2 linked regions of the Rhinolophus ferrumequinum genome follow. The protein of the gene in region 2 interacts with the protein of the main gene of each other region in a biochemical or structural test. Links are inferred from orthologs where the notes say so. Each region holds a gene or a part of one and is shown on either strand. Other genes may lie near its edges.

Region 1 (8,054 bases), on a different chromosome or scaffold from region 2:
CCATTTTCCTTAAAAGTTGGAAATAATTTGAAAAGCACCATTTAGATAAATCCATCAGTGATATTCAAGCCACACAAATAATCACTATTTTTTTTTCTACTTAAAAGTTCCCCACCTACCCCCAAGAGTTTTCTTAAATGGGAAACTTACACAGAAAAGAGCCATATTCTCCCCATCTTCCTTTTCTGCTTTGCCATGAACCTCTCCTGCAGACGTTACATAGCTATGTGCCAGGAGAAGCAGCCCACAGTGCCTGAGTCTCTGGCAGACTATATCACAGCAGCGTACGTGGAGATGAGGCGAGAGGCTTGGGCTAGTAAGGATGCCACCTATACTTCCGCCCGAACCCTGCTGGCTATCCTGCGACTGTCAACGGCCCTGGTGAGTTCCCGATCCTTTGTTCTGCTAGAGGGGTGGTCTGCTTTGACTTACTGGGCAGCCTGCCCTATCATTGTCCTCTCGTTGCCGCCTCTTTCCCACTCCAGCCCTGCCGGGGCTAAAGTGCTGACAGTGCAGATAGTGGTCCTCTCCGTGCTACCGCACTGTGGGTACTTGCTGCTCCAGCAGGGCACGCACAGCATCCATGGAGGGAAAGGCCTGGCTTCTCAAACCTCACTGCCGGTGTGGGAGGGGTGAATTTCATTCCCCGTGTCCTAAATCCTTGTGTTAGAAACGTTCATTTCTGTCCTCACCTCTTGGACCTTACTTAGTCCTGGGGGCTCCAAAGTGCTGTTCGTGCAGGTAGTGTGATTACCTGACCTACTGCTGAGCTAGCACTTCCCGAGCCCCAGGGACACAACCTCTCTGCCAATCACCTGCTAGGCTGAGCTCCCCAAGCTCCATCTGTCATGGTGGGGAGCCCAGTGGAGTTCAGAAGGGTCTGGTCTCCCTCACAGGACAGCTGAACACCGGGACTGGCCAGTGTTGAGAGGCGGAGACTTGGGCAATTGCTGGACGCTGCCCTGGGCATTGCACTTGTCTCGGTCTGACAGTGCCGGCCCCACACTGCGGATGTTTGCAGGGGAGGGTAGGGGGCCTCCACCTGTTTTGTGCGTAGGCACCCCATGAGTTGCCCAGCCTTAAAGCTGAAACACGGGGGTCCCCTGACTATTCCACTCCCCTCCTCCCGTTCCCATCTCTCCCTACCTTCCCCTTAGGCACGTCTGCGAATGGTGGACACAGTGGAGAAGGAAGATGTGAATGAAGCCATCAGGCTAATGGAGATGTCAAAGGACTCACTTTTGAGTGACAAAGGACAAACAGCTAGGTGAGTGGTTTAATGGAGAAGGAAATCAGGAGTCACCTTGACTTTCCTGAGCAGACCACTTATCCTTGTGGCTTCTGCAACCACATGTATGATTGCCTCAGAATTCCACTGTTCTGACATGTTGGGTGCTCTTGTCGGTAGCCCTGACCTTACACATCCACACTTGTTTCCTTCAGGACCCAGAGACCAGCAGATGTGATATTTGCCACTGTCCGTGAGTTGGTCGCAGAGGGCCGAAGTGTCCGGTTTTCTGAGGCAGAGCAGCGCTGCATATCCCGGGGCTTCACACCTGCCCAGTTCCAGGCAGCTCTAGATGAGTATGAGGAGTTAAATGTCTGGCAGGTTAATACTGCCCGGACACGGATCACTTTTGTCTGATTCCAGCCCACTTGAGATACTGGGGTCTGTTCTGCGTACCGTGCTAAACACCCCCCTTCCTTTAAAGGTCTAACGATGCCCTTGAGGGGAAAGGAGGACACCCCTCACCCCCGTTTTCCTGAGCTGCACTTGTTTTATACATTCCTTTTGCTAATAAAGTGTGTGTAGATTGCCTCCTTCTAATAAAACTGGGTATTGTACATTTTATAGATTCATCTCTTATTCCTTTTATACTCGTCTTCATTTACTCAATAAATGTATGAACTACCTACTCTCCCTGCCAGCTACCAAGACAGACACTGGGAACGCAGCAAGGAATGAAAACGCCGCTGTACAGCGGGTCGCACTGCATCTCCACTCTGACCCCTTGCCTGCTCTTACTCCCCTCCAGATTCAAATGTATACTGAGTCTCCTGCTGTGCTCCCTTCTAGTTCTGGGGATACAGCTGCCAGTATGAAACAGCCTCTAAGCCAACTCCATGTCTACCTTCCAAAATGCCTCCAACAGACCCCTCAGTACTCACACCTCTTTCGTCCCCAAATACAACTTGAAAGGCCTGGTTAGGGGATGAAAATCAAGGACCTGGAGGGAGGCACAAGTAATTGCATAGAACAGTCTTCATGTTTACACCCCCTGGCCTCATCTCTAAAATGATACGGACACTAGTATCTGCCTCCTAGGGCTGGCTGAGGTGCCTGCTGGGTCAGGTACATATTCTGTAGCAAGCACTCAAACATTAGCAATAATTGGGAAACATCTCCCTCTTGGCAATACTCAGTGCTCGCTATAGGATCAAGACTCAGTTGTCCCTCATAGAAATGTGCTTAATATCCCGCTCCCTCCCAATCTCTTTTTGTGTGTGAAAAACTAAGCTTGGGAAAGGGGTCATTTGTTTACAGGGAGATACTAAAGAGCAAAACCCATTGCTTAGGTGGAAGCAGGCAGCCTTTGGCTCAATATAGACAGTCTACCTGACCAGACTTGGGGTCACTTCAAGTGGCAGTGAGCTCCCAACCACTGAAAGGTGTTGAGAAGAACTGATGATAAAATGGGACTCATGCCTCTGAGCAAGGCTGGAACCGAGAGCCTAACATCCAAGTGAGAAACCTATGTGGTGCCTAACAGAGGACAGAGCCACTGGAAGGGGTGCTGAGGGGGCACTCCCCTTTTATTAATGACAGGTTTCTCTAAGGGGAGTGGAACACCTCTCCCCTCTGGGACAGTTCTGACCCCTGTGCGTCATCTCTTCAAGTACCCTCAGAAGAAGAGCCCCCGCATCCGCCTGCCGATGCCTTGTCGGTCATAGAGGACGTTGAACTTGTTCACGAACTGGTTCATGGTGTTGCACGTTTTGGTGATGGTGCCAAGGTAGGCCATGAGCCCCACATCATTACATTGCTGGGAGGGAACAGAAAGATCCAGGTCCCTCACATGCCAGGGAACACCTGAGTCCTATGTCCTGCATGCAGAAATGATAGCATAAGCCCCACCCACCTTCCTGGGTTTTAACACTCACATCATAAAAGTCTGTCTTGAACTTGTCTGTGCTGAGTACCGGGAGGCAGTGACATAAAGCATAGGCCTCCCGCAGGATCTCGTGGTTAAAGGGGACCTCTCCTAAAGGTACAAAGAGAGGATGCATTAATGTGGATGTTGTCACTTCCCCAGGAGGGAGTGGAAAAGTGGTAGGAGTGCCAGGGAGTCCCCGTCCTACCTGCTTCAGAGGCTTTGACATACTCCAAGATGAGCTTGACGCGACTGTGCAGCATTTTGATGGCGCTGTGCTGTGCTATCAAGTGTTCAGCCACTGCAGGGGGCAGGGACAGGCCACGGTTGAAAAGGCTTGTGGCTACACCTTCCACCCCCACTTCCAAGTATGCCCCTCCAGCCTCCATTACCCGTGGAGTTCTCTCCACTGCCTGTTGCTGTCATTCGGGCGACATGGTCTACACCAATGCGTTCAGCTTCCTCTGTGGCCAGGGTGTAGGTCAGTTCAGCAAACAGCATTGTGGCCTACAGGACACATAGGGAGAGTCAAAAGCGGGAAACATCAGGGGCAGGATCTGAGGGTTGAAGGGTAGGGCATTACCTCTCCATTGATTATATCGATGACAGACTCAAAAACGCTGACAGGAAGCTGTAAAGAAGAGATGGAGAACAGCTCTTACATCAAATCCACCTGAAACTATACTATGTGCCAAAAATTGGGATTGGCAGTTTCACATTGAAGGGCCAATGAAGGACAGATTATCGCTGTTTTACACATAAGAAAAATGCAGGTTAATCCAAAGACATAGCTGATAAATGGCAGAATGAAGATTCAATTCAACAGAGATGTCACACAGTAAAAGACAGCAGGGGATGAGTAAAAAAGATAAGCATAGCGATAGACAAGTATGACCAAATGGGCATTGGGTCAGTGTTACTCACATCCGTGTGCTTGGTCATGGGGTTCAACTTAAGAAAGAGGGGGCTCTCAATGATCTCACACACCTGGAAGAGGGGGATGATGGATAAGTGTATTGCCCATCTTTCTTCTCTCCCTCATCCTCTATTCTTTACCCCAGCATGCACATGTGTGAGCACGTATACCTGCTTATGGACGTGGATGTCGGAGGGGTCAGGTGGCCCCCCAGTGGTATACCAACCCAGAAACTCCAGCTCCTTGAATACCTGTTTAACTGGAGAGGAAGGGGCCAGAGCACAAAGTATTTCTTTAAACCATCCTTCCTTAATTTGAAGCTCCTGGTGTATTTTCACCAGCTTCTCTCCTTCCCCTCAAATCCCGGTTCATTTTAGAATGGTTATTTTCTTCTCTCATCCTTCATTTTTTTGGGGCAGAATACCCGAATGTGTTCTTTTTCTGAGATTTCTTCAGGTACTCCACTTTCCCACCGTTCTCATCCCATGTCCTGTTTATTTTTCCCCAACCCTCTCCATCTTCCCCACTCTGCTTTTTTTTTTCCTCCCACTCCTCTCTTCCACTTCTATTCCCCTCTCACACTGCTCCTCCTTGGTGTAATAATATTCCTTGTCAATGATAATCTTCTCTTCCACGGTGTGTGACAGCAGCTCAAAGGAGTTCATCACCTCGATATTTCGGCCCTCCTGCTTCCCGATCAGAGCCCCAATCACTGGGGAAGAGAAGGACACACAGGGGTGAGAGGCAAGAATCCCAAAACTTACCTAATCATTACAGCTGGAGGGTGTGAAGTCAATGTGAACTAAATACAGGGGAAATGGTGATTTGGCCGAGGAAGGATTATCTTCAGGAAAAGAAGGAGAACAGACCACTGTTTGGTGGAGGTGACCAACGAAAGGAGGTTGCAGAATTAGGCTGAACACTCACCCTGCATAGGCCGCCCCTCCTGGGAGCGCATGCGAATCCAATGATCTGAGATATTGAGAATGACCAGGGGATGAAGAGCAACTGAAACACTCCCAGTCACTCCGGAAGCCATCACGCTGGGGACTACTAAAGGTGGAGGAGAAGGAGAGAGAGTGAGACTCCGGGCCCCACGCCCTTCCCAGGAGACGGGAGTGGGAGATGGCAGAGCCGGGCCATATATCCCTCCCGCAAGTTATCCCAGGGAGCGATGTTACCGTCCACCCTCCTGACCTCTCCTGAGATCCAGGAAGGCGGCCTTAACGCACCTCGAAGGCCGTCTCCAGAAGCCGCCCCCGCGGGGCCCGTTACCTGCTGCATCCACCTCCATCCCGCTGCTCCCCCCAGTCCCGTTCGCCGCAGCTGCCACCGCCGCCATTTTCCCCGCGCCCGCCGGCCTCGGCCCCGCCCCCCTTCCCGGCTTCCGTCCGTGGCGGCGCATGCGCATCGTCCCCGGGGCGCGCGCCTGCTCTGGCGCAAGACAGCGGCTGTCCTACCTGCCTGGTGTCCGCCCGCAGCCCTCCGGCGGCAAAAGTCCGACGCCCGCATGGCCCTGAAGCCGACAGATTTTCCTAGACCCTGACCCAGGCTCTCGTCTGCGACTGACCTTAAACAAATTACTTAACCCTACCCCAACCTTTCCGTCTTCGTCAGCAGAATTCGATTAAGATTGCCTAGTCCCTAAGTCTATTACAGAATGAATGAAATGTCATGTTATTGCCCTCAGAATAAAATCCAAGCTGCTAACCGCGGCCTGCAAGGCCCTGTATGATTCGGCCCCTGCTTGTCAATGGGCCCTGGCCTTTTCTGCCCCCTGGTCCCCATGTTTCAGCCACGCTAGCTCTCACACCTGTTCTTTTAACACGCCCCACTAACGCAAGGGCCTTTTGTCATGTTCATCATTATAACCCCTAAGACAACACGGTACCTGACACGGGTACCTAAATGATTTTTGAGTAAATGGATGAATACTTTGGGGTGGAGCCTGGTCTTGAGTAGCTCTCTGCAAGTCCTATCTTTCCTCCTCCCAAATAATGGTATTAACAACAGTATTAGGGGCATCCCCAGAATCTCCTAACCCCTTCCACGCTCCCTGTGCTCTCCATCTCCGTAAATCTCACCTCTGGCAAAGAGACCACTCCAGCCCTCTCCCCACTCTTCCATGTACGCAAATTGTGTACACCGCCTTTACCCCTTCTGCTGCCCCAACATGTCTGGTTGGCTTTTTAATATGTGTCTGTACCCCACCCAAAATGTAAGCTCTAGAAAGCAGGTAGAGACCTGTTTCTGGACCCCACGAGCCTATTCTGGTGCCCAGAACTAGCAGGTACTGGAGATGTTTTCTAGTGATAATAATAACTTACATGAATTAAGTAACCTCTCCACTTAGGAACCTGGATAAAGGAAAGTTGAAGGGCCAGCAACACTCAAAGGAAGAGGCCTGAGAAATCCTGCAGGGATAGGGGTCTTCTGGCCAAGGGGAAGTTGAGAAAGAGTTTATCTCATTCTAATCTCCAGTGAAAAACATTCCAGCCAACTGAGACAGTAATGGAAGAAAAGCATATGTGCCATTTTAGGGAAAATGAGGTCAGAAAAATCTATCTCTTTTACATGATAGGCAACGTTTAAGGAGTTTCTCAGATTGAAGGCTAAAATAAAGACAAGAATTATTCTAGGGTTAATAAAGTTGACAGTTGGTGTTGTTGTTTCACACATTAAAGTACTTCTTTGTCTTTTTGTTGTTTCAAATGCTTTTGAAACTGCTCAGATAATTATACAACCCATAAAACAGTGGTTATTGTGAAATTCAAGGATGATTTTGAAATTGAATCAGTTGATTATACATGCTTTGGAAGTAAGCTCACTGAGCATTTCTTAAAAGTGCATTGTATTAAAAATCTACTAACAAAAACTCAAGTTGAAATTGTGTTAAGGCAACTTATCCCACAGTTCTCTTTCTACCTTCCAACAAAATTAAACACAATGCATCATTTTGTTGTTTTGCTAACTTTTCCTTCCACAGAGTGGAGGTAACTGGGCTGGTGGGGAATAGCTGCTCAGAGAGTCAGCAAAGAAGATACCAAGGACTGAAGGGAAGGCCCTCCAGGAAAGAACACAGACTGAGTCACCGATTGCTTTGAATCTGTGGTGTTATCAAGAAATTCTACTCTTTGGGGTCAGTGATTATCCATCCATCCATCCACCCATCCATCATTCATTCATTTACTTAAAAAATATTTAGGAGTGCCTACTATGCAGCAGGCACAATTCCAGGTGCTGGGGTTACAGCACTGAACACAACCAAGTTCTGATTTCATGAAGCTTACACTCGAGTTGTAAGAAACAGACAATAAGCACACATAAGGATATTAAAAGGGATTCGAGGGGTGGTGTTTTACATGGAAGGGAAGACCAGAATGGAGTCAGGGAGCAAGGTGTAAGGAGAGCTGGAGGAGGAGTATTCCAAATGGAACAAGTGCGAAGGTCTTTGGGCAAGAGAATGCATGATGTGTTCCAGGAATAATGAGAAAGCCAATGACTGGAGCTGAGTGAGGGGGCAAGTGGGGACTGAAGGACTGAGATGAAATGAAATCAGAGAGGTAACAGGGTCAGACCAGGTGAGGACTCGTGAGCTTTGGCTTTCAGTCTGAACAGACACATGACTTGATTTGACTCAAGGCTGTAAAGGGTCACTCAGGCTGATGCATGGAGGTTAGATGGATGGTAGGGGACATAGAAGCATGGAAAACTGGAGCTATTGTCCTAATCCAGGTGAGAGATGACCATGGTTTGGACCTGGGCAGTAGAGGCAGAGGTAGGAGATGACTCAGGCCTGTAGCTATCCACATGCCCTGGTGTGTATTGGAAAAAGTCTCTAGTACAGCAGCTATAGTTAGTAGTGCTGTATTGCATATTTGAAAGTTGTTAAGAGAGGAAATCTTAAAAGTTCTCCAAAAAAAGAAAAGGATGTCCCTTCTAAGCTCAAGCTGGGTTTCAGTCCCCACTTGCCCCTTCACCCAGCT
Region 2 (8,054 bases):
AAAATAATAGCATGAGAAGGACAATCTTAAAATGGAAGATTTATGCTCTCCTCCCATCCTTACCTCCCACACCACAGAGGAAGAAAGTGACCTCTACGTGGGTGTCAATCCTCTGGCCACAGCTCAAGGTAGCACTCAGACCTTGGTCAAGATCAGCTTGACATAATGGGAGTGTGTGGTGAGGGAGAGGTCCGGAGTTACTGTTCACCATTTACACACTGCGTACTTCCAAAGAGGCTTCTCACAATAGAGAGCCTGATTTAAGTAAAATCATGAAAACAACGGGAGAGCCTAGTAACAATTGGGAGAGTGCAGATGGGCGGGAGGGGGATATTTAACGAAAAACCAAACCTAACAGGAAATATAGAGACACTTCCAGGTTACATTATTTCTTATTCTAGGAAATAGAAGCCTAGTATTCCACCAGCAGACAGAACCGTGTTCCCAGCTCTGAGCGTGGAGGCTGTTTGGATGGGAATTTCTATAATGGGGAGGAGGGTGATTGTTGAACAACACAGTGAATGGCATCCTAGTTGCTATTTGGACCCAAAACTAAAGATGTTTAGAATTTGATTAAAAAATTAAAAGAACAGAAAATTAAGAGAATATTTAGCCTAAAAGGCTGCAGGTAATGGAGTTCAAATACAGACCTTGGAGGGACATGGCGGGGAAAGCAGAAAGAAGCAACAGTGTGGTCAACGGCTGTCCAAGTACAAATTCTCTTCAGACAGGCCCTTGTGAAGGGCTATACAAAAGGATGCTCTTTGGCTCAGGACTGGGGGAACTATCACTCACCTTGACTTTGGCAGCCAGGGTGACGACGGACAGGTGTCGAAGCTTATTCTTCTGAGCCTCTGTGAGCGGGGGAAGATTCCGGGCTTCAGCTAGGAAAAAAGGACAAAGTATAGGAAATTCTGATTCCCTTCTTGTGGGAAGGCCTAGCCTCCTTCCACTGATTTTTTTTTTTTTCAGTTGTCCATGCCAATTCAGGCTTGACCCAAGACTCTGTGTACCTAAGGGATCTAAGTAGGGTACCCCAGGAACTTCTAAGTCCCTCCAGAAAATGCCCTTCTCCCACCTCCACTACTCTAGAGCTCCAGCCCTCTGGTTACCTAGGTAGTCAGCATATGTCCCATAAGCAAACACCGTGAGCAGGCGGAACGTTGAAGCAAAGTCACTCTCAGCCAGCTGCAAGAATATGAGGGAAGAGATGACAGGAAGAAGGGCCTCTCTGTTCACCTCCTCCCAGCCTTTCCCTGTTTCAAACCCCACTTTCTGGCCCCATCGTTCGTCTCCATTAACTCTCCCAGCTCACTGAGAGGAACTGTCTGCATCTTTCATCACTCTCCCCATAGGAAGGCCTCATTTCCACCGCTAGGCCTTTGCTTACACTGCTCCCCCAAACCTACAATGCCCTCTTCCTCCATATGCCCCCAATTCCTACCCTAAATTCAGAGTTTAAAACATTCATAGCGTTCAGTATCTAACACACACACACACCCAACATTGCAAATGGTGTTGTTTGGTCCTTAGAGTGTGTTTAATATTTGTGAGTTTGATTATCTTTAGGCAGTTTGTTATACTCCCCTATTCACCAGACTCCTGCCTCAGCCTCACTCATCTCTGACAGCTACATGGCCTAGGCAGTCATTGGAATTTGTGGCCTCTGCTTCAGACCTGCCTCACCCAGGGGGCTTTCTCATCCAGGGCAGCCCACCTAGATCTCCTTTTCTATCACTGATCACTCATTCTGGCACTTATTCAATCAAACCCTACCTAAGGTTGTTACCTAAGAATGTATTTCTTTCCAACAGGATTATAGACCTAGTCTCTGGTATCCCACTTAGGTCTAGCAGAGTTAAGTATGTAGTTGGCTCTCTCAATAAATACTTGCTAAATAAATGATATGTACATGTATATCCATTCGTCTGATCTCTGTAACTGGGAAGTAAGTTTCAGAAGGATAAGCTCTATTGTCTCTTACTTTTCTGGCATTCCCAGACAACTAGCAGAGTGCTAAATATACATACAATATGTGCTTTTTCTTCACCTTGACTGAATATCTTTAGTTCCACTGCAGAGGAAAGCAGGGAAAGAAGGCAGCCAGTTTTCTCCGTACCACAGAGTGATCCCAGAAGGCTAAATCCGCTGACTCAATCACTGGCCCTCAACAATTTAACTCATAGTTTGCCCACATACCACTGTCATAGCATCTCAGGACTTGGGCTGGTGTCATATATCTTGGCGACTCACCCACCCTGGATTTTAAACTCTTAACTCTGCCACGTCTGTGTGAATAGTTCTCTATGCTGTGTTTCTAGCATCTTGCCACATGTCTTTATGAAAAAGGACAGCTTCTACCTGATCTAATTTAAGTGAATTAGCATATGGTGCAAAGAGGGGAGTACAGGGCATGCCAATCTCATGTTACATTCCTTCCATTTATACCCGACTTCACACTTTCTCATAATTTCATCTGATTTTTATAGTAACGGTGAGGGGGCATTATCAGCTCCATTTTTAAAAGAGAAAACTGAGCCCCTAAAATAAAAGTATCCTGATCAAGGTGACATGATTATTAAGGGCTATTACATTGGTGGAGACAGGCTGGAATCAGGTCTCCTATTCTGAATAACAGGCTCTTTTGCTTAAGAATATCGGGTTTCACAGATCACTTATCCTCAAAGGGAAACTAAGAGGCTTACTTGTGTACTTAGTACTCTTGCAAGATGCCAGTTAATCATCATCCTATTCTTGTTCAACTGAATGGTTATGGGGTTACAAAATGAGCCCTGCCCCCCCATTCTCAAATTCAAACTTTAGCCCCAAGCTTCCCTGTGGGCTATCCAGGTCAGGACCCACCTCTCTAACATTAGGCATATCCAGCAGTTCCCCAAACACGTAGACACCAGGGGCCTCCAGCACTTGGTGGATGAGTGTGGCCAGTGCTGCCCCCTTGGCCGACTTGGCCAGGAGCAGAAATTGCTCCTGGTTCTGCCCTGTCACCTTCACCTCGGCACTCATGGCTGCACTGAGCTGGGGGTACTTGGGCTCAGGATGTCTGGACCTGAAAGGAAAGAGGATGTGAAAATGGAGGTCCCTAAACAGTGGGGGAATGGGAAGCACAGGGCTAGGGGCTGATTGCAGAGGCACCGAGTCACTTCTGCAAAGAGGAATCAGAGACGGAGCAGTCTAAAGCTCGGACCTCGGAATCCTAATACGGGGCCACTTTGATGGAAGCCTGGCTGATACAAGGTTGCCACGCCCACCCTCCTCCCACACTTGGGCCTAACCCCAAAACCCACCACATGCACCCCAATGAACCCCAAAGCACAAGATGCAGTGGGGGAATGGGTGTCACATGGTGTCCATCCCAGTGACGACGCTACCTCGTATCTCCACTTGTGTCCCGCAGGTGCCCCCAACCACGTGACCTCACCCTCAAGATCCTTCCACGTGGCTCCGCCCCCTCCCTTAAAGAGGCCGCCCCGGGACCGCGGGCTCCCGCCGACTGCTGTGTCGTACCCTGGAATAGACTCTGCGGGCCGCTACCTGGAAGCTTCGTCTTCCAGAGCACGGGGCGGGACCGTCGCTCCGTCACCTCCGGCAGCTGTTCCGAGCCTTTCCTGCCACCTCCATGCAGGGTCGCTCTGGCCACTAAACTCTATGGATGACTTCCGGCCGCACTTCCGCTCTTACTAGGCGGGTTTGGGGCGGGATATTCCTCGCTCTCGCCTTCCGACTGCTGAAGTAGCTGTGAGCGACACACGCATTCTACTCTCTGATTGACTGTTGAGGAAAGACTGACGGGCGCTTTTTTCGTGCTTTGTTTCAATAAAACTTTATTGTTGGCCAGCGCTAGACGCTAACTGTAGAGAGAACCTCTGATCTCAGGCAGGTACCGGGTGGTTCTGTGTCAGTTCCAAGCTGCCAGAAATCTGGAGACCTGGCTGCACGGGGGTCCCTGAGGCGAGAGGAAGGCTGTCATGGGAAAAGAGGAGGAAAAACAGGGGGGAGGGGCGGGAAGCGGGATTTGAGGAGGAGAGTGGAAGGAGACCATATCAATAATAGAAGTTTAGCAGCAGAGATCATCTGGGTAGTTCAACCACTCATTTTTTTGAGGAGCAAGAGAAAAGAAGTGGAAAAGGTAAATAACTTACATGTATTGAGTCAGGCATCTTTTAAAATTTTATCCCATTGAATCCTCATAACTACAGCGTCCCTAGTGTGACTCCTGGACACCATCTATCTTGATTACAACATGTACTTATAGAGTGATGCTTTCCTGAACATTGACTCTTTTAATTCTTTGGGGAGGAAAAAAACCTAGGTGTAAGGAAGGCATGTATTATTATCGTTTTACAGATGAGGAAACTGGGGTTCAAGTCTTTTCAAACCCGAAATCATCTTTCCACTTCACCATGATACTTTTTTTTGGGGGGAGGGTCACTATTTATTTAGGACAAATACTCCACATCTGTGATTCTCTCCAGTCAGAAGTTCTTTGAGACGATGCTGACAGCCTTGGCCAGTCGGAGAATGGAGTCATCTGACTCACCCATCCTGTGAATGGCCCCACAGATAGCGTAGGTTTTAAACGCCATTGAACCTGCCTGTCACCTTGTCAACCTCAGACACATTCATCTGGATGGATGTATGGTCCTTGGCGCCGATGATATGGTTGCTGGCGGGGCATTTCTGCGGCACATACAGGTCCACGAACTCGCCTGCGTCGTTCTGCACGTTGGGGGAGCACCTGGTGCCACCACGACGAGTGTGAGCACAGAAAGCTCACCATGATACTTTAGGGGAAAAAAATTAACTAACATTTCTATACTGTTTTATATTTCATACCGGGTTTGCAGAAGTTCAGATGAGAATAAAAGTTAATGACGTCTTGGAGGCTTTTGTGTTAAGCACTGAGCTAAGAGCTTTACTTAATTCGTTTGATGCTTATAACAACAACCTATTATTGTTTCCATTTTCCAGATTGAAAATCTGAGAGCCAAGGAAGTTAAGTAATTTATATGTAAATGAAAGAGGAGAACGTGGAAAAAGAGGACAGTAAATAAGAGAAAATCATAAGACTGGTAGACTACTGCAGCTGAAGGGACTTTAAACTTAAAATTTATGGTCCACATGGTGTGGTTTCTAGAAGAAAATGGGAAGCAGAAATAGGAAAGGAGAGAAAGAGAAGAAAAAGAAGAAGGAGAAAGAGGTGGAAGAGGAGAAAGAAGAAATGAATGGAAGAGATGACACATAAAAGTGAGAAGAAATCAAAGACATAATAAAATATCCAAAGTTTGAAGGAACCAAAGAATTATGAGTTCAATCTTATCAATTTAAAGAGGAAAAGAAAAAAAATGAGGAAAGAACGAGAAAAGAGCCAACTATGTTCTATTATGTTCTATTAGGTCTTTATTTTTAAAACTTTTAAAAAAGTCTTTATTTTTTTTAGAGTAGTTTTAGGTTTACAATAAAATTGAGAGGAAGGAACAGAGATTTCCCATATAACCCCTGCTCCTACACATGCATTGTCGCATCCAGCGCAACAAGGGCAGTGAGGGTGCGAGAAGGGGCGGTTTGCGTTAAGTTTTTAAGACAGAAACAAACGGAGACTTAATGCAGTTAAATCTCTCAGAAGGCCAGGGGTCTGTCAGTCTCAGAGGGCTGGAGCCCAGAATAAGGCTGACTGAAGGTTTTTATTGATAGGTATACAAACACAAGAAAGTAACATTGTTTCTTACACGGTCTGTGAGACTCATACATCATAGTAGAAAAATGTTTATTCCAATCACCCTTTGTCTATAAACAGCCGAAGCACAAGGTCCCATGATGTCTAACCTAAGGTATGTACCTTTTTAGGGTCAAGTCTCTCATATTGTAACAGCTCCATTGAGATAAGTGAGAGAACTGATCTTTGTTGTCTTCATGATTTTTCTCACAAACAGGTGCAAGGGAAAAGCCAGAGCCGGCAACAGACTTTCCCAGGCAGGGGGAAGGGGAGGCAAGGCCCCTTTTCATATTTCTCTAAGGCAGCTCATTAGGGGTCCCCACTCGGTTCCGCCTGGCTTAGGTTGTATCTCCCATGAGGTATCTTATGTCTTTGGCTGCAAACCATCTTTTGGGGACCGGACAGAGAGACATAAGGTGTAAACACAAGGATGGAACAGAGTCCCAGAAAGGCACAGTCTTACAGACTCTTCTTTCCTTAAGGAAAGACACGGGGGGACAGTTGGCTAGGCTGCTGTGTGACTACAATGCATAACTTCCCCCATTATCAACATCACTCACCAGAATGGTACTTTTTTTTTTTCCAAGGATGAACTTATATTGACACATTATAATCATCCAAAATCCATGGTTTACCAAAGGATTCCCTTTTGGTGGTGTACAATAAGTGGGTTTGTATGACATACATCCATCGTTTAATATCACACAGAGTATTTTCACTGTCCTAAAATTTCTATGTTCTCTGCCTATTTATCTTTCCCCACCCCCCACTCCTGATACCTACTAATATTTTTTTTTTCTTACTAATCTTTTTATTGTCTCCATAGTTTTACCTTTTCCAGGATATCATAGTGTGGGAATCATACAATATGTAGCCTTCTCAGATTGGCTTCTTTCACTTTAAGTTTCCTCCATGTCTTTTCATGACTTGATAGCTAATTTCTTTTTAGCACCAAATAGTATTACATTGTCTGGATGTACCACAGTTTATTTATCCATTCACCTACTGAAGGACATATTGGTTGCTTCCAAGTTTTGGCAATTATGAATAAAGCTGCTATAAACATCTATGTCCAGTTGTGTGTGTGTGTGTGTGTGTGTGTACATAGTTTTTTACTCCTTTGGGTAAACACCAAGTAACGTGATTGCTGGGTCATGAGTAAGTGTGTTTAATTTTGTAAGAAACCACCAAACTGTCTTCCAAAGTAGCTGCACCATTTTGCATTCCCACCAACAATGTATAATTCCTATTGCTCCACATCCTGGCCACCTTTTAGTGTTGTTAGTATTCCAGAATTTGGTCATGCTAATAGGTGTGTAGTGATATCTTGTTTTAATTTGCATTTCCCTGATGACATAAGATGTGGAGCATTTTTTCATATACCTACTTGCTGTCTGTATATCTTCTTTGGTGAAATCATTGTTTGGGTCAAATTGTCTGTTTTCTTATTGAGTTTTAAGAGTTCTTTGCATATTTTGATTAATAGTCCTTTATCAGATTTGCCTTTTGCAAATATTTTCTTCCAGTCTGTGGCTTGTCTTCTAATTCTCTTGATATTGCCTATCTCAGAGCAGAAGTTTTAAATTTTAGTTAAGTCCAGCTTATCAATGATTTCTTTCATCAATCATGTCTTTGGTGTTGTCTCTAAAAAAGGCATCACCATACTCAGGGTCATCTAGGTTTGTACTTATGTTATCTTCTAGGAGTTTTATAGTTTTGCATTTTACATGTCCCAGTCTATGTAGGTCTGTGATCCACTTTAATTTTTCTGAAAGTTGTGTGTGTATTCAAAGTCTGTGACTAGATTCATTTTTTTTGCATGAGAATGTCCAGTTGTTCCAGCACCATTTGTTGAAGAGACCATCTTTGATCCATTGTATTGCCTTTGCTTCTTTGTTAATGATTAGTTGACTATATTTATGGGGGTCTATTTCTGGGCTCTCTATTCTGTTCCATTGATCTATTTGTTTATTTTTTTGGCAATACTACACTAGCTTTATCACTATAGCCTTACAGTAAGTCTTGAAGTCAGGTAGTGTCAGTCTTCCAACTTTGTTCTTCTCTTTTAATATTGTATTGGCTATTCTGGGTCTTTGCCTCTTCATATAAACTTTAGAATCAATTGTTGATATCCATAAAATAACTTCCTGGGTTTGTGATTGGAATTCCATTGAATCTGTAGGTCAAGTTTGGAAGAACCTGACAATATTGAGTCTTCTTATCCATGAATATGGATTATTTCTCCATTTTTAAAGTTTCTTCTTTAATTTTGTCCATCAGAGTTTTGTAGTTTTCCTTATATAGACTTTATATATATTTT

What was found.
Region 1: the proteins of COPS7A (region 2) and COPS6 form a complex in vitro, tested with the Homo sapiens proteins (3 studies listed by BioGRID, with this or other methods). The link is inferred for Rhinolophus ferrumequinum from reciprocal best matches to the Homo sapiens genes COPS7A and COPS6.

Annotation. Positions count from the first base shown.
Region 1 is NC_046290.1:90,378,127-90,386,180, reverse strand, and holds COPS6 (COP9 signalosome complex subunit 6), read right to left. Parts: upstream 5,459-8,054; 5' UTR 5,411-5,458; coding exon 5,344-5,410; intron 5,122-5,343; coding exon 4,996-5,121; intron 4,781-4,995; coding exon 4,649-4,780; intron 4,328-4,648; coding exon 4,239-4,327; intron 4,140-4,238; coding exon 4,077-4,139; intron 3,784-4,076; coding exon 3,736-3,783; intron 3,660-3,735; coding exon 3,545-3,659; intron 3,454-3,544; coding exon 3,361-3,453; intron 3,264-3,360; coding exon 3,163-3,263; intron 3,045-3,162; coding exon 2,904-3,044; 3' UTR 2,790-2,903; downstream 1-2,789. Other genes in the region: DNA replication licensing factor MCM7, read left to right, coding at 213-381, 1,158-1,267, 1,444-1,645. UniProt on the Homo sapiens protein: Component of the COP9 signalosome complex (CSN), a complex involved in various cellular and developmental processes.
Region 2 is NC_046293.1:23,926,933-23,934,986, reverse strand, and holds the start of COPS7A (COP9 signalosome complex subunit 7a), read right to left. Parts: upstream 3,698-8,054; 5' UTR 3,553-3,697; exon of another isoform or gene 3,390-3,552; intron 3,068-3,389; 5' UTR 3,025-3,067; coding exon 2,863-3,024; intron 1,189-2,862; coding exon 1,113-1,188; intron 885-1,112; coding exon 796-884; intron 1-795.